Linked DNA regions of Struthio camelus. The protein of the gene in region 1 purifies or fractionates together with the protein of each later gene. This does not show direct contact. Links are inferred from orthologs where the notes say so. Each region holds a gene or a part of one and is shown in the gene's direction. Other genes may lie near its edges.

Region 1 (7,593 bases):
GAGACGATTTCCTTTGGGCAGGGAGGCAGGGAGGTGGAATTGCTCCTGTCCCTGCAGCAGAGGCATCTTCTTCGTTTCTATTTGTGCCGCAGGTTCCCTGAACCAGGCGAGAGGGTCCTCGGCCGAGGCCCGGCAGGCGTGGGGTGCTGGCAGGGTCCCCTCGGGAAAGGAGCTCCAAGTGAGCCCACCCACCAGCCGGTTTAATTAATATTCATCTGCCGCTTCCTAATGGGAAACTGTCTCTGAGTCACGCTGACATTTCCCTGGGACAATGGTAATTAAGCACCTGGGTGAGAGAGAAATGTGCAGTAATAGAAAAGTTAAGTTTTCTTAACTACATCAGTGAAAAGCTGATGAGGAGAGGAGGGGGACTAGCGCAAGTACCAGGCGGGCGCAAAAGCAGGTGGGAGTTAATGGCAGACACCGTCACGCAGCGCCTGTCACGGCGGGGCCGGCTGTGCCCGGAGCCCCGGCAGCCCCCGGCAGCCCCCGGCAGCCCCCGGCAGCCCCCGGCAGCCCGGCCCTCGAGGCCCGCATTGGCCTCGGAGCGGAGAGCGGCTCCGTTGGCCCTGCCGGCGTCTGCAGAGCATCGTCCAGCGCGGGCAAGGTGGGAGCCAGCAGGAGGGAGAGGGGAAGGGAAGGAACTCCCCAGCCAGCCTGCACCCATGTTTCGGAGGGGCGAGCTCGCTGGCCGCCCCGAGCAGCGGGTGCGCGACCCGGCGCCGCTGCGAGCGCGGTCCGGTGCCCCGGCAGGCAGTGCCCGCGGGAAGCAGCCCGCCTGCGGTGCGTGGAGCAATTCCCATCGCGCCCGGTCAGCTCCCCGCTATTCAGGCGTACGGCGTTTTTCCAGAAAGGGCTGGTATTAAATCGCTTGCTCACCCTCGTGGCCCTGAAACGGCCGCAGGCTGCGCGGGCTGCCCCAGGGAGGAGGCGGCCAGGCGCGAACCGCGCTCCCGGGAGAGCCGGCGCGCGGGGCGATGCCCGCTCCCCAGCATCGCCCCCGCGGGGAGCGGGCTGGGCGCCGCGGGGGGAGCTCGGCTCCTGCCTGCCGGCGGCCGCGCAGCCCAGGGGCACGCGCGTGGGCACGCGGCGGCGCGACCGGGGCGCACAAAGACACGGGCAGCGAGCACAAGTGGCCACTCGACGCCGTTGCAGAAAGCGGCGCCCGAGCAAACAACGGGCGTCGCGCAGCAACGCGCGGGGCTGCCCCCGGCCGAGGACCCCCTCTCCTCCCAGCCCAGGCGGTGAAGTGGCTCCACTGAAAAGCAAATCGAGCTTTAAAAACTTGCAGAGGATCGCCGGCAGCCCCGCTCGCTGCGCGCGGGCAGGCAGCCAGCCGCGCGGCCGCTGCGCTCCCCGCCAGCGCGCCCCAGCCCAGGCTCTCGGCTGCACCCCGGCCGGCTGCCGGCGGCACCAGGCAGCGTCTTCCGTGCAAACGGCTTTGGGACGAGACCCAAAGCCGAGCGCTCCCTGGCAATCCGCGGGGATAATACAGGTCGCCTTGCAGGGAGAGAATGAGATAAGAAAGTTTATTTTCCGAATGTTAGGCGGAGGAGAGGCTTTTCCTGGCATGCACGCGCCGCCGCTCAGGGCACCTCGTTTCCCCTCCTGCGCCAGCCTGGCGGCAGGGACCGGGCGGCCGCGCGGGGCCCGGCCGGCGCAGGGTCTCCGCGCCGGCAGCGCGATGCTCTGGGCAGCGCGGAGGGGCCGCGGCTGCTGCCTGGCGCGTGCTCTCAACACGGGCCTGGCAAGTGAGTCAAGCAAAGAGCGATTTGCAGAGCTCCTCCGTAAACTCGCTCTGCAGACGCTCTCCTTGACCGCCTGCAAAGTGCCTCTAACGTCACCTGCGCCGAGCGAGGCAAAGCGGGCAGAGAAGAGGCTCGGAAAAAAACAGCTGGAACAAAACAGGCGGTTTTCGTGGCAGGAAAACGACCCTGCGGGAACAGACGTGCGTCCTTCTGTACAAGCAGCCCCCCCGGAGCGGCGCGCTGCCGGCAAGCGGGCCAAGGCCGCGGCACCGGCTTAGCGCTGCTGCTCGCACCGCGCACGCGGGGCTGCGCGTGGCCGCGGGGGCTGCCGGAGAGGGGCCGCGACGCCCACGCGCTGCTCCCCGGGACGAGGCGCCCCGGCCGGTCCCGGCCCCGCCGCGGTGCTTGCTGCGACGGGGCGCCATCGCCGTTTCTCCCGGCGCGGCACAGCCAAGCGCCGGCGGGCTGGGTGGCATGGTGGAGCCCCGGTCCCGGCGGTGCGCGATGCGCACGTGCACGGGGTAAATGAACCCACCACCGCACGCTGCTCGAGCCGGGGGGTGCCTGGAGGTGGAAACGGCCAGGCGGAGCGGGAGTAACGCGGAGCGGAGCCACGGCATGGCCCCACCGCCGGGACCGGCCGGCCAGCACGACCGCACGCTCGGGAAGCCCCTGGATGGCGGGAGAGAGCAGGGCAAGAGGGCTCCAGCCGGGCGCGGGGACCCCTGGGGACAGTGCTCGTCCTCACCCGGTTTTTAGCTTCCCTAAAACCTCTGGCCCCCGAGGGCAGCGAGGCTTCAGCCCCAGCGTTTCAGTGACTTTCTAGGGGGGCTTTTGCTGGAAATCGCCTGCAGCAATACCCCAGGGAGCTGGGTCTGGGGAGGGGGCTTCACCAGGGCTGGGGCCCCGCAGCACCTGGCTAAGCTGCAGAAGCCCCTTTGCACTGCACAAGCTGCTGCACCCCCTCCTTGCACTACATGTCCCCCCACAACTGCACCTCCCCTTGCACTGCACCGATCCCCGTGCACTGCACAGCCTGCTGCACGCACAGCCCCCTCTGCTCCACTGACCCCCCTTTGCAATGCGCAGACCCCCCCTGCACTGCACGCTCCCCCTGGTGCATCCAGCATCCCCTTGCACTGCTTCCCCTCTCCCCTGCGCACTGACCACCTCCTTGCACCGCCTCCAGTGCACCGATCCCAGCCCTTAGCACTGCATGGTCACCCTGCCAGTGCATTGACACCCCCCCGCAACTGAACAGGCTCCCAGTGCACCCCCTACAATGCACCACCACGGCACAGCTTCCCACTCCCTTACACTGCACCCCCCTCTCCAGGGCACCAACACCCCCCCTCCTTAGTGCACTGATCAAAACTGCACCGCCTCCCTGGGGCACCTGCCCCCCGCCATGCGCTGTAATACCCCGGTGTGCCCTCCTTTTACGCTGCACGGCCCCAGTGTACTCCTCTTTTGCACTGCACAGCCCCAGTACATGCCCCCTTTGCACTGCATGGCCCAGAGCACCCCCCCTTTGCACTACACTGCCCTGGTGCACCCTCCTTTGCACAGCACGGCCCCGGAGAACCCTCTTTTGCATTGCACAGCCCTGGAGCACACCCCCCCCTTTGCACGGCATGCCCCCCAAGCACCCCCCTTTGCATTGCACAATCCTGGAGGAACCCCCCCTTCTTTGCACTGCACAGCCCAGAACACCCCCCTTAGCATGGCACAGTCCCAGAGCACCCCCCCCTTTGCACCACATGGCCTCCGAGCACCCCCTTTGCATTGCACGGCTCCAGAGCACCCCCTTTGCATGGCATGGCCCTTGAGCACCCCCCTCTTTGCACCGCACAGCCCCGAGCACCCCCCTTTGCATTGCACAGCCCGGAGCACTCCCCCTTTGCATTGCACGGCCCCCGAGCACCCCCCCCTTTGCATTGCACAGTCCGGAACACCCCCCTTTGCATTGCATGGCCCCCGAGCACCCCCCCTTTGCATTGCACAGCCCGGAGCACCCCCCCTTTGCATTGCACGGCCCCCGAGCACCCCCCCCTTTGCATTGCACAGTCCGGAACACCCCCCTTTGCATTGCACGGCCCCCGAGCACCCCCCCCTTTGCATTGCACAGCCCCCGAGCACCCCCCCTTTGCATTGTAGGGCCCTCAAGCACCCCCCCTTTGCACGGCACGGCCCCCGAGCACCCCCCTTTGCACGGCCCCCGAGCACCCCCCTTTGCATTACACGGCCCGGCCGCCGGCCCCCTCCCCCGCCGGTGCGGCGCGGACAGCCCCTTCCCCCCCTCCCCCCCCCGCCGTTACATAAGGGGTTACGTCAGGGCGCGCGGGCCCCGCTTATCCCCGCGCCGCCGCTGCCGCCACAGCAGCAGCAGCAGCGCCCGGCCCGCGCCGCAGGTGAGGCCCGGCCCGGCCCGGCCCGGCCCGGCGGCGGCCGCCGCGCTGCATGGCGTGTGCGCAGCCCGCCGGGGCGCGGCGGCGCGGCGAGCCGGCCCCCCGCGGCCCGCAGGCACCGTGGCGGCGCGGCGGGGGCGGCGGCGCTGGCGGGCGGCGGCGGCGGCGGCGGCCGGGCCCCCCCCGCGGGGGGCGGCACCACCACCGCCGCCGCCCCCCCGCTCCGCGCGCGGCGTGGGCCCGCCCGCCCCGCCGCCATTGGCCGAGCGCTTAAAGGGGCAGGCAGGGCGCGCTTTTCCGCCCTCCGACACGGCGGCGCGTGCCCCCCGGCCGGCTCCGGCAGAGCGGCAGCAGCGGCGGCGGCGGCCCCCAGCGCGGGGGCATGCGCAGGGCGCGGCGGCGGCGGCAGGCGCGCGGCCCCCCCGCGCCGGCGGCGCCATGGAGACGGCGGACGGCGGCCGCCGCGGGACACAAAGAGCGGAGCGGCGGCGGGCGGCGCGGCGGGCCCCCATGGCGGCGGCGGGGCCCGGCGGCGGCGGCGGCGGGGCGCCGCGGTACAGCCTGCTGGCGGAGATCGGCCGCGGCGCCTACGGCGTGGTGTACGAGGCGGTGTCGGGGCGCAGCGGCGCGCGGCTGGCGGTGAAGCGCATCCGCTGCGACGCGCCCGAGAACGTGGAGCTGGCGCTGGCCGAGTTCTGGGCGCTGACGAGCCTGCGGCGGCAGCACCCCAACGTGGTGCGCTTCGAGGAGTGCGTGCTGCAGCGCCACGGCCTCGGCCAGCGCATGAGCCACGGCAACAAGCGCAGCCAGCTCTACCTCCGCCTCGTGGAGACCTCGCTCAAAGGTACCCGGCACCCCCCCTCCCCACCTCCCCCCCGGGACACCCCCCCTCCTCCCTGAGGGGGACCCCCCCCCTCCCCACCTCCCCCCCGGGACACCCCCCCTCCTCCCTGAGGGGGACCCCCCCCGGAGACACCTCCCCCCGGGACACCCCCCCTTCTCCCCCCGAGGGGGACCCCTCCCCCTGGAGACACCTCCCCCCGGGACACCCCCCCTCCTCCCTGAGGGGGACCCCCCCCGGAGACACCTCCCCCCCGGGACACCCCCCCTCCTCCCTGAGGGGGACCCCCCCCGGAGACACCTCCCCCCGGGACACCCCCCCTCCTCCCTGAGGGGGACCCCCCTCGGAGACACCTCCCCCCAGGACACCCTCCCCCTGAGGGGGACCCCCCCTGGAGACACCTCCCCCAGGACACCCCCCCTCCTCCCCGAGGGGGACCCCCCCCGGAGACACCTCCCCCAGGACACCCCCCTTCCTCCCTGAGGGGGACCCCCCCCGGAGACACCTCCCCCCCGGGACACCCCCCCTCCTCCCTGAGGGGGACCCCCCCCGGAGACACCTCCCCTGGGACACCCTCCCTCCTCCCCGAGGGGGACCCCCTTGGAGACACCCCACCCAGATGGGGGACCCCCCAGCACATCTCCACTCTCTCCCTGGGGGGGACCCATGGAACCCCCCTGGAGACACCTCCCACTGGGACACCTCCCTTCCCCTCCCAAGGGGGACCCCCTTGGAGACACCCTCCCTAAGGGGCACCCCCTGGCACACCCCTGCTCTCCCCCCAGGACCCCCTTGGAGACACCTCCCCCTGGCACCCCCCCTCCCCCTGGGGGGGACCCTCAGGACCCCCCTGGAGACACCACCTCCTCCCCCCCCAAGGGGCACCCCCCGGCACACCTCCCCCTCACCCTCAGGGGGATCCCCCTGGAGACATCTCCCCCTGAGGGAACCCCACCCCCCTGAGAGAGACCCCTCTGGAGACCCCCCCAATGTCCCCCCCCGAGGGGGACCACTGGGAGGCACCCCCTTCCAGGACACCATCCCTGAGGGGGCCCCCTGGAGACCCATCTCAGACATCCCCCCCAAGGGGGTCCTTCTGTGGACAGCCACCCTGGGACATTGCACCCCAAAGGGGACCCCCTGGGAGGCCCCCCCCGGGCACTTCTTCTAGAGACCCCTGCTGACTCAGCACCCCTCTGAGGGGGTTCCACCCTAGGGGCCCTCCCCAGGACATCCTCTGTTGGGGTCCCCCCAGGTCACCCCTTGAACACCCCACCCAGAACACCCTCCCCCCAGAGGATCCCTCCCTGGAACCCTCCCCCCCCTCCCCCGGACTCTCCTCCGGGGGGGGTCCTTCCCTGGGGACCCCCGAGACATCCCTCCTCTGCAGGAGGTCCCTTTCTGGGACACACACACGCACCCTGGTCCCCATCCCCCCCCCCAGCACACTTTCTTCACCCTCCCCCACAGCAGCCAGGCTGTCATTACCCCAGCCCACCTCCCCTTCACCCCAGGGATCCCCCCCATGGCACCTGGTGCTGCTGTCACCCCAGGGTGCTCCCCCTTACCCCAACATTCTGGTGCTGCCATCATTCTGGGGTGCCCCCCCCCCCCCCCCCCACCAGGGCACCCCGGTTGCCCTCCCTTGGGCACCTTGGCCCCTTCCCGGGCACTCCAGCATCGCTTTCCCCGGATACCCCTGCCAGGGCACTCTGCCATCACCCCTGGAGCACCCCGGCACCCTTCTGGGGGATGCCACCATCATCCTCCCCAGGGTTGTCCACCCCGGCGCACCCTCCACCATGCCTCCCTGCCAGCCCAGCACCCTGGCGCTGCCATCTCCCTCGCATCCCCTGGGGACCGTCCCCTGCCCCAGGTAACCTTGGGGATACCTGTGCAGGGCACCCTGGTATTGTTCCCCCCCTTCTCCCAGGGCACCCTCAGCACCACGTAATTCCTAGGACCCCCCTTCCTGGCATCGCTCGCCCACCAGTGCTGCCACCCCAGCCTCACCCTGTCCCAGCATCGCCCCTTGCTTAACCTCCTTCTTGGTAGCATCTGCTCTGGGGAGACCCCCTGCTGCACCCCTGCTCCCCCCATCGTCACCCCCACCCTTGTTATTCCTTAGCAGCCCCCCTGGGGTCCCTCTGCTGCACCCTTGGTGCCCCCAGTCTCACCTCCGCCTCACCCCTGCCCACCCGGGGTCCCTCTGCCCTCAGCAAGACCTGCCCCAGGCGTCCCCAGCACTGCTCCCGTCGCCCACCTACGTCCTGTCTCTGCTATGCTCTTCCCCTGCCCGCAGCACCCTCTTTGCTGTCACCCACCCCTGGCACTCCATGGGACCCCAGTGTCACCATCCCTGTGCCTACTCCCCCCTTTCAGGACCCCCAGCCCTGGCTTCTCTCCCCATGCACACCCTGCCCAGTGTCACCTTCCCCCAGCTCCTGTCCCTTGGGCTTTGCCTGAGTCCCTGCTCCCAGGGACACCCCTCCCTGAGCGCCCCCCCCCCCAGCCTGGTTCCTGCCTCAGTGCCCCTTTGCTGTACCTCTCTCCAGCACCTCTGTAACCCTGTGCCCTGCTCGTAGGGTCCCTGCCC
Region 2 (7,845 bases), on another chromosome or scaffold:
ACATACAGAAAGAAAACAAAGAATAGCAAGCTGAAGACCTTGCTGCCAAGACTGAAGGATGATTTCTACTACAAATACAAGAAATACAGGCACTTACAGTGAACTTACAGTGAAAGAGAGAACTCAGTTCTTTCCTGTTATTCCCAACTACTCAATTGCATAGGTTCTCTAAAGAGTGGCTTTGCCACAGCTTTCTCAAAGTTATGCGGAAACCACAAAAACTAAGACTCACTCAAGAGCCTATTACAGTTTAAATGTTACTAAGATACTACAGTCAGTTTGTTTGGTTTTTTTCCTGAAAAGTAAGAACTGGCTATATATGAAACAAATGAAAGACAACCAAATTTCTCAAAGTTTTAATAGCTGCAAAGAGAACTCTGACTAAATATTTTCTGAAGACTAAAGTGTCAAGTTAGGAAAACAAGTACTAAATAACTAATGTTATGTGTTTTATTTAACTTTAGCACTTTACATTTTCATACAGAGAAACTCATAAACAGAGAAAAATCCAAAGCCTGCAGAAGAGATCTCTTGTAAGCAAGTATACTGCAGTAGATTAACTGTTTTCAGCGACTCACAGCATATGATTTGCCTGGGCAATGCACAAGGTTGACTAGACTTTACACAGGTTATCATCTACTTTGGCTTCATTTTAATATTAAAACATGCAATCGACCCTCTGCATAAATAACCAATTTTTGAAAACTCTGTAACAAAATACTACATTCAACTTCCCCTGCCCCTTCACAAACACAGTTTATGATCTGCCAAAGACATAACCAATGCTAAAAGAGGAAGAGGAGCCAGGTCCTTATCTGCCACTTTATGATACAACTACTAATTAGACACTCCCTCAACTTTCACGCACACATATCCATTTACTTCTCCTTTCAGACTCTTGTGGATTTGCCTGAACAAATATACCTGTGTGTACACTTGTGGTATGTGCAGACCTCAACTTCCACTCTGCAAGTCCACTCCTTCCCAAGTACAGCTACTAAAGAATTTATATCTTTGCCTACATTCAAGCACACCATGAAAAAAAAAAAAGACTTCTTCAACTTTCATATGCCACAAGAAAAGCCCAAATTTAACCTGAACTCATCTGACGTTTTATTTCCTGAAAATTTGTTTCTCAAATAGCAACAATGAAGTTATTAGTACAATCAATCCATTGTTTAAGCACGTTCGAAACATGGACTGAATCAGGTTTGGTTGCAAATCCTCAAAGGAGCCTATCTCATACCGTGAATTCGTCACTGAAAAAAGTAATTCAGATCTTGTCCCTAGAATCTGTTGATTACTCTATTATCTCAGCCTTTACAGCAACGAACCAAGGAAACTGATTAACAGCTGTCAAACAGAAGCTGTACATTCTCACAAGGGGAAGAAGTATATGCAATGGAATGTCTTCCTATCATATAAGGTTTACGTTTATATAAATATATTTAATACCGCTATTTTGTTTCCATAATGGAGAACAGCCAAATCAAAAATGTTATTTTACTCAAAGAAAAAGGGCAGGAAGGTCTGCAAGGTCCTCATTCTTAGCAGAGTCTGTTCAGCACCAGCCTCTCAAGATACCCTCTATCTGACAACTTTGAGCTTCACCCATATTATGGGCAATTTCACCATGCCAGAAAGAGAGCTGTCAATTGCCATCTTTATCCCAGGATACAGGCAGCACTTTAAATACTCTGGAATCCAAGGTATAGCACTCTAAGGGGTACGTCTAAAACATTTAATATGATCAAAAATTTTGCTAAAAGAAACTAAAAAGAAGTGAGATCTGGTGCTTCCAATAATTTTTATCACTGTGGAGAAATAGTGCAGCATTCTGCAGTAACCAGAACTTTCAAATTGATAAAGACTTTCCAATTGATATGGAGGAAGGAAAGGAGGAGAAAGCCAAAGGGGAAAGAGCCTCATGGCAGGTGAGATGCTTGGAGCACGGTACGCTTCAGCGTGGTATGCTTAAGCATACTATTTCGATAGAATAACACTGTTTTTTTTTTTTTGTTAAGGAGGGGAAGGGGGATATATACATCTATTTATGAGAATGCACTGGAATCTTCTAGCCAGCTAGAAACAAGGTTATGCTGTTATGCAAGAACTTCATACTGATACAGAAAGCAGAACACTCTTAATTCCTCAACTCGTATTAAACTCTTCCCACATAGCAGCAATGGGATTGCTAGTATGGGCACTCTGCAATTTAACTACCTAAAACTAGACTCGATCACTTCTGGTTGTACATTTTCATCCACAGGGGATTGTTTCATGACTGTAAATTCTTCAAAGATGCGCTATGCTAGATCAGATGTATGTGTAAGTTCATTTAAATTCGTGCTTGCTTTGCTTCTGTATGAGAATAACAGTACCATATGAATTCCAGTCCCTGTTAGTTGAAGTACAAGCAGTCAAAAGAGTAAGTCTGTAGCTGTTCCTGAGCAGACAGATTGGATCACAGACATCTAGGCACAAAGGAGCAAGTATAGCCTGGTAGCTGTTTTTCATTTAACTCAAGTGCACAATTCCATTTACCTAATAAACACATTTTTTGTTCAGATAAGCAAGAAAAACAACAAATGCTGCAAATAGGTAATCTGAACATTTTAAACCCAAATAAGAACCGTTTGGTTTACACAACAACTTTCTCTCATCGTCAAATCACAGTATTTTCCCTTTGGTGAAGTAAATAACATTAAATTGCCATGCTCTGTGTAACAGCTGAAATCAACAAGTAAAGAAGGATGTTGAAATACTGGACAGAAATTAAAGAAAGCCCCCCCCCCCCCCCAGCTAACCAGGGAATAAAGCCCTCTCCCCAGAAAACAAAGCCCAGCAGGCAAGACTTAAGAATGCACCGTCTTCAGCTTATGAAATGGAAATCTGAGGTGACCTGATCACTGCATGTAGGTCCTAACACATGAAAGAAGAACTCCAGCAGTGCATGACTTTTGATTCTTGCTGAGAAGCGTTAGACACAAGAGCTGGAAGTTAAACTCAAATGTGAAATAAAATATGACTCCGTAACTGCAGCCATTTGAAACTGCTTATGAAGAGAAGCTGGTAGACTCACCAACCCTTAATCTGTACAACGAATAAGGAAGTCACTCTAAAATAAGTCATTTTAAATGAGCACGTAAACACAAAGCTAACGGATCACCAAGACTTCAAAAAGGCAGAAAGTTAGGGGAAAATCATAACATATGAAGAATTACTTTTCAAATGATCATTCGCAGAGTATAACATTCCAAATATGTGCAACGCTGCTAGCAACTGTATAGTTTCTTTCCTTCAGTTTCTCTACAAACTGAAGAAAACACGCACCTAGAATATCTCTACCTGATGGAAGCCCTGAAATCCACCATCAAGGAAAAAAAAAAAAAAACAGTTGCTGCCAATACAGTTGCTGCCTTTTCTGTGAACTTAGCGCACACTCTAGTCTTCTAATGCCTGATGTATACACATGCAGACATAGCATTATTTAGTATTTTTGTATTTTACCCACAGAGAACTAATGTTCTTTTCCTGGTATAAATTATAATCTTGGGAACAGTTACAGTAGATGTACACTTGAATTTTTGCCTTCACAGCACTGTCAATTAACAATATGACTTTATATTTATTCCCATCTGACATATGGCAAATCTCACAATCCTTCTGGCCCAAAAATCCTTTCTCAGACAGCCCTCAGAACCAGGTAATCTGAGAATGGCCCAAGACCCCTGCAAAGACATATTTAAGTAAACTGCAGTCCAGAAAAGCACAGTTCTCGTTCCCACTCAGATTAGTTTGAGCCCTGAGTCATATGAGCTAGTATGTCTTCTAAATGGTTTTTGGCTTTCTTTATAAAAGCACTAGAAAATTTTGGTATTGATACAAATATCTGCTTGCTTTGAATCCTGGTTTTGAGCCTGAATGATTTTCTCTGGCAGTTAGTTTCATTTTAATTGCACACTGGCTGAAAAAATATTTCTACCTACTTTTTTTTTTTTTTTTTAAACTCCCACTTTTTAAATATCATTGAATGTCCTCTTAGGCTTGTATTATGAGACATCACAAAGTCATCTTGCCACACTAGTTCTTCTTAATGGACTGACAAACGATCTTAATTAAATTTTAACATGCCCAAGCTAACCTTTTTCACAGCTGACCATACAAAAAATATTCAACTACTATGCTGAATTAGCGAGTCTAGAAATACTTCAGTATTTTATTTAGTACACTAAAGGAATAAGGCTCCCTGTTCTGAATGAGGGCTACACTACTTCCACTATCTTTTTTATTACCTCTTCCCTTAAGAAACTAGGGCAAAATTAATGTTATAATGTCTTCTGCCAAAGAATGCTAGAACCCTATGACACAATTCTAAAACAAACGATGGCAGCAGATGTGGTTCAGTTTAACAAGTCAATAAATACTTTAAGTGCCTAGAGAGCTGGGTCTTTTCTAATAGGACCCTGGATTAAAATTTAAAAAGCGGGTCAATAGTTATTAGAAGAGAAAAACTTGCAATACACATGGGGGCTTCTAGTGCAGAGAAGTGCAGATAAATGCAGATAAAAGCTGCTGAGAGAGAAGTTGTCTCAATGTCAGAAAACACATTCATCTCAGAAAATGAGGTTTTTCTACAAAATTTAGAGGACGAACGGATCACAAACAGGAAGAAACATCAGATAAACAAGTTTAGTAGCATGTAAACCGGGCATCTAAACTTACTACGCGTCCTCTTACGCTTCCCTGCGTGAGACGTTCGAGCTGCTTCATTAAGCCCTTCAAGCGCCAAAACCTGCAACACCTCCAACACTTAACACCGCGAGAAACTGCCTAAAAAGAAAGAAGGAAGGGGGAAAAAAAAAAAGTGGAAGTAAAACTTTACGCTAGAATCCACAGGTGCCTCCACACAGCAACGCACACCGCAAAACTACCGCTGCCTTACGGGGTGGAAAAGAAGGTAAAACCGGCATAAACCGAGCGCTGCCACACGGCGCAGGCCGAGCGAGAGGGCGGCCGGGGGGGGGGGGGGGGGGACGCGGCCCCCACAGCCCCGGCGGCACCAGGGCGCGGCCGCCCCGTCCAGCCGCTTCGCCGCTTCCTCCTCAGGGAGGGCAGAAAACGCTACTCCCGCCCGGCTCCCCGCCCCACACCCCCTCCGCGGCTCCCCCCCCCAGTTCCCCCGGTCCCCGAGGGTGGGCACGGCGGCGCCCCGCTGGCGGGCGGCCCGGCAGGAGCTGCGAGCGGGGCCGCGGCGGGCCCTCCGTCAGCCGCACGGCACGTAAATAAAGGCCGCTAACGGCCGGGGGCCCGCGCCGCTGCGGCCGCGCCGCGCCTCGCCTCACCTCAGCCGGCCGTGTGGCGCGGCGGGGTCCCCTCACCTCACCTCACCTCGCCTCGCCTCGCCTCGCCTCGCCGGGGCCGGCGCGGCGCCTCCTCCGCGTGAGGAACTCTCGCCCCCGGCGCTGCCTCCCGGCCCGTCCCGCTGCCCCGACGCCGAACAGCCCGGCCCGCCGCCGCCGCCGCCACCCGCGCGAGGCCCCGCTTCCCTCCTTCCCGGCCTGCCCCGGCGCCGCCGTCCCCAGTCCCCCTCCCCCGGCCGGGCTGCGCCTGCGCGGCGGCCCCTCTCCCCATCCGGGTCCCTCCGTGCGGTGTAGCAGGTCGGTAGGCGGGAAATGGCGACTGGCTGCTGAGCGGCTGCGGAGCGCCGAGCCCCGGCGGCGGTGTAAACACAGCGGCGCCCGCCCGGCCCGGCCCAGCCCGGCTCGGCTCGGCGCGGCCCGGCCGCCGGACACCGGGGCCCGCCTGCTCGGCACCCCGGCGCCCGCAGGTAAGCGAGGCGGCGGCGGCGGCGGCGGCTCGGCCAGCGCGGGGTCCCAGCCGGGGATCAGGTGGGAGAAGGCAGGGGCGGCCGGTTGCCGCGGCGCGGGCAGCCCCCTCCGGCCGGCCCGCCCTGCCCTGCCGCGCCGCTCCTGCCCGCCGAGTCGCTGCCCCTCCGCCACGGCGGAGGCCGCCCCGCCGCGGCCGGAGCGCGGGGAGAAGAGGAGGAGGAGGATTGGGGGGGGGGGGGGTTCAACCCTGGCGGGGCGGGCCCGCTGCCCCCGGGCGAGGCGGGCGGGCGGGCGGCGAGGCTGTCAGCGCCGCGCTGACACCCCCCGCCCCGCCCCGCCCTCCAGGCCCAGGCCTGCGGGGCGCCTCCGCAGCCGCGGCGCCCCCCGCGCCGTCCCGGCCGGTTGTTGTGGTGGTGGTGGGGCGGAGGGGGGGGGGGGGAGGCGGCGTAGCTGCGTGCGAGCCCGTGTCGCGGCCGCCCGCCGCGGGCCCCTCCGGCCGGGCCCCGGGGGTGGGGAAACGGGACGAGGCCAACTTTGTCCGCCGGCGCCTCAGGTGCAGGACCACCACCCTCCGGGGCTGCTTGTCGGCGTTTCCTGTCAGCGCTTGGGAAGGCTGCGCCCGGCAGCAGCTTGTTGCATGCCACGCTGGTTGTCCGCTCGCTTTCTGTTGAGGAGGAGCGCGGCGCAAGCCTGCGGCTGGGCTTTAACCATAGTTAGGAGCAGCTCGTGTTGTTTCTTCCTAAGCGTTTGGGTGAAGCTAGACCTGCCCAGAACGTTTTCTCCTCTGTGAAGACGGTCCCCAGCCTGTGTTTTCTTGTAGGGTTTTTTTTTTTTTTGGTAGTCCTCCAGTTGCTTGTGGTTCACTTTCAGAAGTAATTTTGAGATTGTGTTTGTTGAATATGCCTTCCTCGATGGAAGTTGTTCGCACTGTTACAATCCATGAAGAGGATCTCCAAGTATAGCTATTACTGCGTTGCCATGGGCAAGTCACAGCCGCTTTTGCCATTTCTCCATCAATAAAATGGGGATAATAATACCTCAGAGAGTTGTTACAAGAAGTAGTTAATGTTTGTAGAGGGCTTAAAAGACCTAAGTGTTATTAATTAAGCCTCGTGACACATTAAGGTAAGAGGTAGTGAACCAGGTTTACACATGGATGAACTGAGGCAGGAAGAGATTATGATTTAGCCAGAGTAACATATTGGATCTGTGACAATAACAAGAAACAAGTTGTAACTACTTCATGCTGTAGGCACAAGTGAACAGTTCTCTATAACAGATATACTTCCAAGATTATTTCCCCACCCTTGCTTCCCACCTCCCTCCATCCCATCTACTTTAGAAGGCTTCGCCTGTGCGGCTTCCAGTTGAATGGGTAGCTCCAAGGACACTTGTGGCTTGCCCACTTAAAAGTGCTTCAGCAGTTTTCATAACAAGATGTATGTTCTAGGATGCTAGCCAAATCCAGACTTAAATTCCATAAAACATCCTCCACTTTTTCCCTGAAAACACTGTGTGGAACTTAGTTGAGACTTGATCCTGTTCCAGTCAGTGGAGTACACACTGAAGCTGACATTCCTGTTTCATCCGAGAGAGTTGTTTCATTAAAGAAGAGAGTTTCTTGTCATTTCTGTCCCACAGATGTAATGGTGCAGTTGGGTCATTTTTCTAATTACGTAAGCACTCCAGAAATGTTGTAGCTGTACATGCATCTTTGTAATTTAAAGGTAACTTTCTGTCTTCATACTTCCATTCTGAGTGTTGATAACATCTTCCCACTGTGTTGATTCCCCAGCACGCTGACATGACACTATTGCAGGCTGAATAGCATTCTTAAGTACTTAAAAAATATACCAAATTCAAAAGGAAACTTAGTCTCCATCTAACAAAGTTTTCCCATACTGTATTGGCATTTATTTTTCTTTGATCGCTTCTCATGCTGCTAAGGCTGACACCAACAAAACTAGTATTTACCAAAGACTTTAAAGTTCTGTTTTTTCTAACAGTTCTCTGC
Region 3 (7,362 bases), on another chromosome or scaffold:
ACCAGAACGACTAAATACAACCGCTGCAGCCCCCGGTGCAGCTCCACGCGAGGAGCCTGGCCTGGGCTGCTGGCAGGGTGCGGAGCTGCTCGGCGCTGGAGGTGAGCTCCCTTTGTGGCACCCAGCTCTGCGTGGGGCAATGCTGCTGCTCGCCCGCTGCCCCGCTCTCGGTGTTGTGCTTGGGCTGCCCGCGTGTCTGAGGGTGCGGAGAGGGAAACGGCAAGAGGAGAGAGGGAAAAATCACTGCTTCCTTAGCTGCAACGTGACTTAGCCTCTGCAGGCCCTGCCAACTTTGCAGTCCCTCTGAGCGCTGCCTCCTCTGTGCCGTTGGTCCCCTTGCTGGCTGTTGCTGGGGCAGCTCCTTTGTGCCAGCTCCAGCCTGGTGCTGGGAAAGTTTAGGGACTGCAAGCTGCTTTTCCTGCTCCTTTCTGTGCGTCTGTGCACTTAATTTCCTGTCTAATACTGACCCCCAGTGTCTGGGAGCCAGGAGGTCTAAGAAGCCCTGGAGATGTGTCCCTGAGTGGGCAGCCTGGCTGCCAGCATGGGAGCCCCAGGGACATGCCAGTGTGCGGCTGGGTGCTGCAGGGCCTGGCTTGTGCTGATGGACGCAGCATGAGCAGAGGCTGCAGCTCCTATTCCCCTTCTCCTGGCGAAGGTAACTGAGCCCTGCTCTGCTCTGGGTGAGAAGTTGCTTTGCAGTTTGTTCATCTCTTCTCTGTAACCTTGGGCAGGCTGTTTCCCACACCCCAACTGCCCTTCTGTGAACAGGGAACTGCAGCAATAATTCCCTATCCCACAAAACAGGGGAAGTCGCCGATCATGAAGTGCTCAGGTCCTTGGGTGGCTGCTGCCAGCATAAATAGTCTAGGGTTAGATACTTGGATACTTGCTCTCTCTCTTAGAGCTAACTGCGGGAAATCTGCCCCAAATCTGCATTGTAGCACTTATCTCTGCACCCACTTAGGCCAATGCTGTGCCCAGTTTTGGCTCTCGGAATAGTTAAACAGGGAACAAAACAAAAGCGACTTTTGAGATGTAATTTACACCATAATCCTTGCGACAAAATGTTCTGAAAAAGAAAAACGTGGTGGAAAGAGACTGCTTGCTTACATAACTGTAGTTAAAGCAACTATTAAACTAAGGCAGAAGGAAGTTCTGTGAGTCGCTATTCTGCTTTTTAGTGGCAACACCAGTTGTCATAGTCCATGTAATCAAACTGGTTCCTGGAGCAATGGTAATGATTTTGGCTCAGTGGGATGTCTTGTGCAGGGAGAGATTTACTTATGTTTCATGGAATGCTCTAAAAAGCAGCCCTGCCCAAACCAATTAAAGCCTTTGGAAGGGTATGAAACCTTGGGCAAATCAGCTGCCCTGAATTCGTTGGGTAGCATTTGTAGAGTGCTTTGGAAAGGATTATTGTTATGTAAATGCTAGAGATTGTGATGAAAACTGGCCATTTTGTATAAATAGCGTGGAGGATCTTGTTGCCACCAACCTGTTCCCAGGCAGGAGCTGGTCTCTCTGGCTGTATCCCTCCCAGGGAGGTCAGTGAGAGCAGCTCTTCAGTCAGACATGTATTCTGACCATCCCACTTGAGACCAAGTCTCTGTTGTGCAGATCTCCCTTAAGGTTTTGCATTAAGGTAATGGATTTCATAATTTCTCTTTGTTCTCTTTCTTACAAAGCCTATGCACTTCATTCAGTTGTATTAATTTCTTCAGATACCTGCACCCCACATTTGTTCCTTGGTGACATTAGAAATAAATCTAAACCAAGACATTTGGGTTTTTTCATGTGGCAGTTAAAATTTCCTGATATATCATAAATTCCCTGTTACTTGCATGTCAGGACTCTCTGGTTTCTGATATGAATAATGAAACACTGCCTCAGATCTGAGTGGGGCAAAGATATTCAAGATAGTAATTTTTCAGACAGTGATGGCAGACGTCAGAGGTGTGTTTGGGTTGCAGACCCCTCGGCATGTTCAGCTCTAGCTGAGGTATCAGCTCATCAGAAATTCTGCTGGGAGACCGCATCTAGGAAGGAAACCCAAAATTTGTGGTTCAATATTCGCTGTCCTTAACCGAGTTGGCATGACAACGTCAGTGTGGTGTGACTGGCTAGAACTGCAGCTAAAAGGCTGTCTTCTACAGCTGAGCTAACGTCTAGCTCGTATTGCTGGAGCTTGCTCTGCCAAAGCAGCACAGAAAGTGGCAGGTAGACAGGATGCGGTACCACGGGCTAGACAGGGGGCCAAGCGCTTGATGCTACTTATTAGACTGTAGATATTCTTTCTGCTCTTTCCCCAGGTGTGTTAATGAAAAAAGTCGCCGTAACTAAAAATAGTTTTTTTCCAATGCATGAAAAGACCAGTCAGTGCTCCTGCTGGATTATTGTTTAGCTTGATAGATCACTCATTCAACAGCTAACAGCCATTATTTTTACAGGCAACGTTATTTTTTTTGGCTGCTGTCTCTAACATGTCACTAATGTTTAGCCAAATGAACTCAGAGGATTATAACAGACAGGGATGCTGGGGAAAGTGACAGGCACAGAGAAAAGTGCTGCAAGAAGCTAATTTACACATTCAGCTTCACAGCCTGAACCTTCCTTCCTGCTCAATAAGCTCATCAGCTGTTTCTTCATAGCTGCTAGCCAGCTTTCAGAGAAACGAGGGAGCTCACAAAATCTTCCTCTTTGCCTGCCTGCCTGCTTAGACACAACAGATCCTAATAAAAAACACTGTTTAATATTGTTGAAAATAAGTCCTCTTTTACATGGAAATGTGAATTTAATATAAATAGTTGGTGCTGCTCTGCTTCTGATTGAAGTCGCTGTGTAGCCTTTCAAATCACTCGGGAGACGCTGGCTGTTGATGAAACGTGGCCTAATCTCAGAGGGGATCTCTGTTCTCGCTTGCCTCTCCTGGGGTGCTTTCTGCACTCCATGATGGATGTTTTCTCAGAAAGGGGTCAGTGATATTTCAGAAAAAGCAGTAACATCTGCAGTTGCAAAATCACTGCTGGTTCTCCATGAAGTAGGGTTATCGTGGGAGAGAGAATGGAGTGACCATAATGCAGTAGCTTTGCAAAGGAGCCCAGACTTTCTGCCTTTGTCCGTGCAAGGTGTTTAGTTCCTGCGTAGTGCCTGCGGCCACAGTGCACAATCTCAGGCGCTCGTGGCGGCATACCCCTCGCACAAAGCTTGCCCACGCTGCAGTCATGGCAGGGGCAGCCCCTGCAGGGGTACGTGACCCGGCTCGCTAGCTCGGGTACCGACAGTCGCTTGGCTACCTTTGTGCTGGGGCTGCTTCCAGCTCAGGCATCGCTGCCCGCGTTGCTCTAATAAGCACGTCAATTTTGCTAAGCAGCATGAAGAATGAGAAACAGTGTTATGGAAACAATATATAAAATTCCAATTCTCCAAAATTAGATTTTTCTTACAATTTTCAGTTCATGGGGAAATTAAAACAACAAAGTTCTTTTCTAGCAGCAGAAATGCTGCTTTTTTTCCGCCAGTTCCAGTCCCTTTCTGTTTATGAGACAGTATAAGTTTTCACTGTGTAATAAAAACAATCATCTGTATTCCTTGGCTGCAAGCAACAATACTGTGAGAGAGTGGAGCAAGTCACGATGCTTTTGGAGAATATGAATTATCTCCACCACAGAACAAAGCACAGAAGGACCCTTGAGCACTGTGTGAAATTGCAGAACAACATATCAGGCCTGTCTCTGAACCTCTGCAGTTTAACTGGGAGACTTCCTGCTTTTGAGAAGAAATTTCGCCTTTGAATATCCTCCAAGGTCGCCGGGCCCATTTATTTCTGAAGTTCAAACTGTTGCTCGTGTTTTTTAAGGCCAGGAGGCACGGGCAAGGATTTTTGCCGGCGCAGTTCAGTTGAGGAGCGTAGGTATCATCTTCAAACCACCGGAATTGTGGCACAGCTCCAAAACGAGCAGAACATTACCGGCCTGCCCCGAGGAACGGGCTCCCCCACCCGTGGCGCGTGGGGACGCGCGCAAGTCCCCACGGCGCGGGTGACGACGTGCTCGAGCCCGGGCGTCTTGCTGCTTGGCGACACGGAAATTCGTCCGCGGGCGTCGAGAGCCCTGGAAGTTACAGAGGGATTTCGGTTGCTAGCAGGATTTGTTCCCCGAGGGCTGCAGCAGTGAACCGGCGGCCGTATCCGCGTAGCGAGTCCCTCGCTGCGCATCTTCCGGGAGGAAGCCGCAGCGGGAGGCGGCAGGCCTGCAACGTTCAGAGCCCAGAACCAGCTTTGGCCTCTGCGCTCCCTCCGGGCAGCTGCCCCTCGGGGAGAGCCTGCAAGCAAGCTCCTGCCTTCGCTCTTCTCTGGGCGGCAGCGGCTGTAACGGGGCCTCGCCGCCATCACAGGACCAGGCCGGCCGCCCCGGCAGAGCCTCGCGGCCCCGCTGCCAGGCCCGCGCCCTCCCCAAGATGGCGCCAGCGGCCGCGCGCCCTCCCCAAGATGGCGGCGGGCGGCGCGGCGGCGAGGAGGCCGGGGCGGCGTGTGGGGCCGGTCGGCGCCGGCCGCGGCCCCATGAAGAGCCGCAAGGAGCGGGGCGGTCCCGCGGCGGCGGCCCGGACGGTGAGCCTGGTAGGAGAGGGCCGGGGCCGAGGCGGGGGCGGGCTGCGGCGTGGCGCCGCCGTGCTCAGCAGCACCGTGATCGATTTGCCTGGAGGGTTTAAGTGAATTTTAAACTTTAAAACAAAAAAAAAGAGGTACGGGAGACGCATTCACCTGCCTGGGGCCGGGTTTTGGATGGGTTACTCGCTGCTGAGCTGGCTGTGCCACGGCTGGCGGCCTCGCCGCGTCCCCGTGAGAGCGCGAGAAGGCCGCTAGCCGCGTGCTGCCTTGGTTCGTGCTCGGGGCAGAGGTTTTTCTGCTGGTGATGAACCAGTCCACAGCGTGCAGTTCACCTGAGGCGCTCCTCGCTCCCTTTGTTTCCCTTGTTACCTGCGCTTCCTAATAGTTATTTGTCTTAGTGAGGTAGCTTAGGCGCTGGCTGCTGCTCCTTTCGGTCTCGTGGCGAGCCTAGCAACTAGTGCCGCTGGGTGGTTTTCTCTTTTTTAAATCCTTTATTTACTTGAAGTAAGCTGTAGGGCCTTGTCTTGTCTTTTTTTTTTTTTTTTTTGCGACAGCCTTGCCCACGCAAAGCCACTGACACCCGGCCCTCAAAGAGGCTAAAAGGCGAGAAAAGCGGTCTAGTGAAATCGGCGCGAGCAGGACGCGCAGGTGGGAGCGGGACGCGGGCTGCGCGGAGGGAAGCACCTAGCAGCTCGGCCGAGGGTCGGCGCTCGGGAGACGCCGGAGACGGCGACGCAACGCGGCGGACAGCAGGGCAAAGCGTTGCAGAGACGAGGGCGGAGGGACAGGGAAAGGAAGGCGACCTTTCCCCGAAGCCCTCTGCGGTGGATTCGAGCAGCGCCCCGTCAGAAGCGGGAAGCGCTGAAGATCTGCAAAACTGTGCCTGCCGCGTCGGAGAGGAAAGCAGCTGCGAGAGCGTGCTTTCGGGTGAGTCCGGCTTGGAGGACAGAGGTGCCCCGAAGACACCAGTACAGCGCGATGATAGTGCTTTCTTAGACGAAGACAGTAACCAACCAATGCCAGTGGACCGATTCTTTGGAAACGTTGAGTTTATACAGGTGAGATGATGAAAGTCTGTTTACTGCTCACAGACTGGGTTCTGTTCTGCTCCTGCCTTGTGTCTCCAAACGCCAGTAGTCTAGCCTCAAAATTTTTGGCAAACTTGACCGATATTGGTAGTCATCTGGAGAAGTGTCCCTGTCTTCTAGATAGAAAGACTGACCTCAGTCAGAGATGAAATTACTTGTCTGGCCGAGTCTATGTCAGAAGTAAAGACTTTCCTGTTCGGATTTTATTATTCCAGTTCCATAGGATAAATACTTTTACTCATAAAGATACAGATAGCTGCACTATGGAGAAAGTTTTTTTTTTTTTTTTAATGAGGTAGTTTTTCACTGCTCACTGGTTCTTAATTGTGGTTACTTTACTTCTTTGGAATAGAAACTGGTTTCTGACCAGCTCTGCTTTTGGACTGATCAAGGGACAGAATTATAAATTCAAATCCCAGGTCCTGCCTTTAACATACTGTAACTTTGGACAAGTGATGCTTTCTTTTTTCCTGGTGTTTAGCGAGGACTGGTATTTAACGTGGATAGGGAGGATTTGTTTGTAGAGCGCTTAACCCTTTCTGAATCCCTTTCTAAAAGCTTAGAAGGAATGCCAGCCCTCACTTTGACCGTGAGCCAGCACTGCCTTATAGCAGGCTCCCTTCAGAGCTCTTAGGCTTTTATTTAAGGTTTATGCAGATGCCATCACTTCTAAGAGGTCTGTATTAATACCTCATGTATGAGGCGTAGGGGAACGGGAAGCACTGGACATGTAGGAAGTGTGCTATTTGCAGCAATTGGTTTTTCTTAAGTTTTTATCCTTTTTCTTAAAGGACCTCCCAGCAGTTGCACTTGCAAGCACAACAATGAGCAGACGAGAATTTAGAAAGCTGCATTTCATTGCAAAGGAAGATGAGGAGGAGGAAGAGGATGTCCTCTAACCACAAAATGTAAAACAAACAAAACTATTTTTTTAAGGATTTTACGCCACTGTATTGGCTAGTGAAAGGTAATGGTTGGCTATGTCACTGACATGATTTGTTTTGTATTTGCCTTTTCTCAGAGGGAGAACTGGTAAAGTTTTTCTGTGAGCTCGTTAGATACTGTACTCTCCTCTGGTTATCTGGGGGGGGGGGGAACAGAGTTTGGCTGAACTTTTAGTGAATTGGAATAAATTGTATTTTATCATTTTACCACTAATGCTTTTCATTTATTAAAAAAAAGTCTATTGGTCTATTTGGTCTAGTGTGCTGTACATTTGAGCCAACACCTCCAGGAAACAGTTGGCCTGTTCTCCCTCCTCTTTAAAAGTAAGCAAGCAATCCTAGAACACAGCTGGATAGTCCTTTTCCTTTTAATTCTGTGATGTTTACCATTTTGGCATCTGGTTATTAATAGATCAAGTAGACTACCCAGTACAAGGAGCGATACCAGCCTCTGTTCCTTAAGTTTAGTGTTGCGTTTTTTACTTGTAAAATGAAAGCAATTCAGACCTTTAAAACGCAGTTTTGCTGGCAAAACTAAACGCACGTATGTCAACGTGAGTTCCATGGCTTTGGTCTCAAGATGGTAAATATATTCTTATTGCATGTCAGTTTTATGAACAACCACCATGTGAATCCCATGGCTTCTCTCTTCCATCAAATCAGCCACAAAAATTGCCCTTTTAAATGTTTGTGTAATGCAAGTTGTGCAATGTTGTCTTCAGCT

Evidence for each region.
Region 2: the proteins of STK35 (region 1) and CTDSPL2 purify together in Homo sapiens (affinity purification with mass spectrometry; 3 studies listed by BioGRID and IntAct, counting the BioPlex papers as one, with this or other methods). This does not show direct contact. The link is inferred for Struthio camelus from reciprocal best matches to the Homo sapiens genes STK35 and CTDSPL2.
Region 3: the proteins of STK35 (region 1) and C21H1orf174 purify together in Homo sapiens (affinity purification with mass spectrometry; 3 studies listed by BioGRID and IntAct, counting the BioPlex papers as one, with this or other methods). This does not show direct contact. The link is inferred for Struthio camelus from reciprocal best matches to the Homo sapiens genes STK35 and C1orf174.

What each region holds. Positions count from the first base shown.
Region 1 is NC_090959.1:18,139,836-18,147,428, reverse strand, and holds the start of STK35 (serine/threonine-protein kinase 35), read left to right. Parts: upstream 1-4,579; 5' UTR 4,580-4,594; coding exon 4,595-5,000; intron 5,001-7,593.
Region 2 is NC_090953.1:1,134,273-1,142,117, forward strand, and holds the start of CTDSPL2 (CTD small phosphatase-like protein 2), read left to right. Parts: upstream 1-4,828; 5' UTR 4,829-4,960; intron 4,961-5,396; exon of another isoform or gene 5,397-5,595; intron 5,596-5,615; exon of another isoform or gene 5,616-5,830; intron 5,831-7,845. UniProt on the Homo sapiens protein: Probable phosphatase.
Region 3 is NC_090962.1:1,311,176-1,318,537, forward strand, and holds C21H1orf174 (UPF0688 protein C1orf174 homolog), read left to right. Parts: upstream 1-4,515; 5' UTR 4,516-4,558; coding exon 4,559-4,615; intron 4,616-5,160; coding exon 5,161-5,664; intron 5,665-6,485; coding exon 6,486-6,593; 3' UTR 6,594-6,845; downstream 6,846-7,362.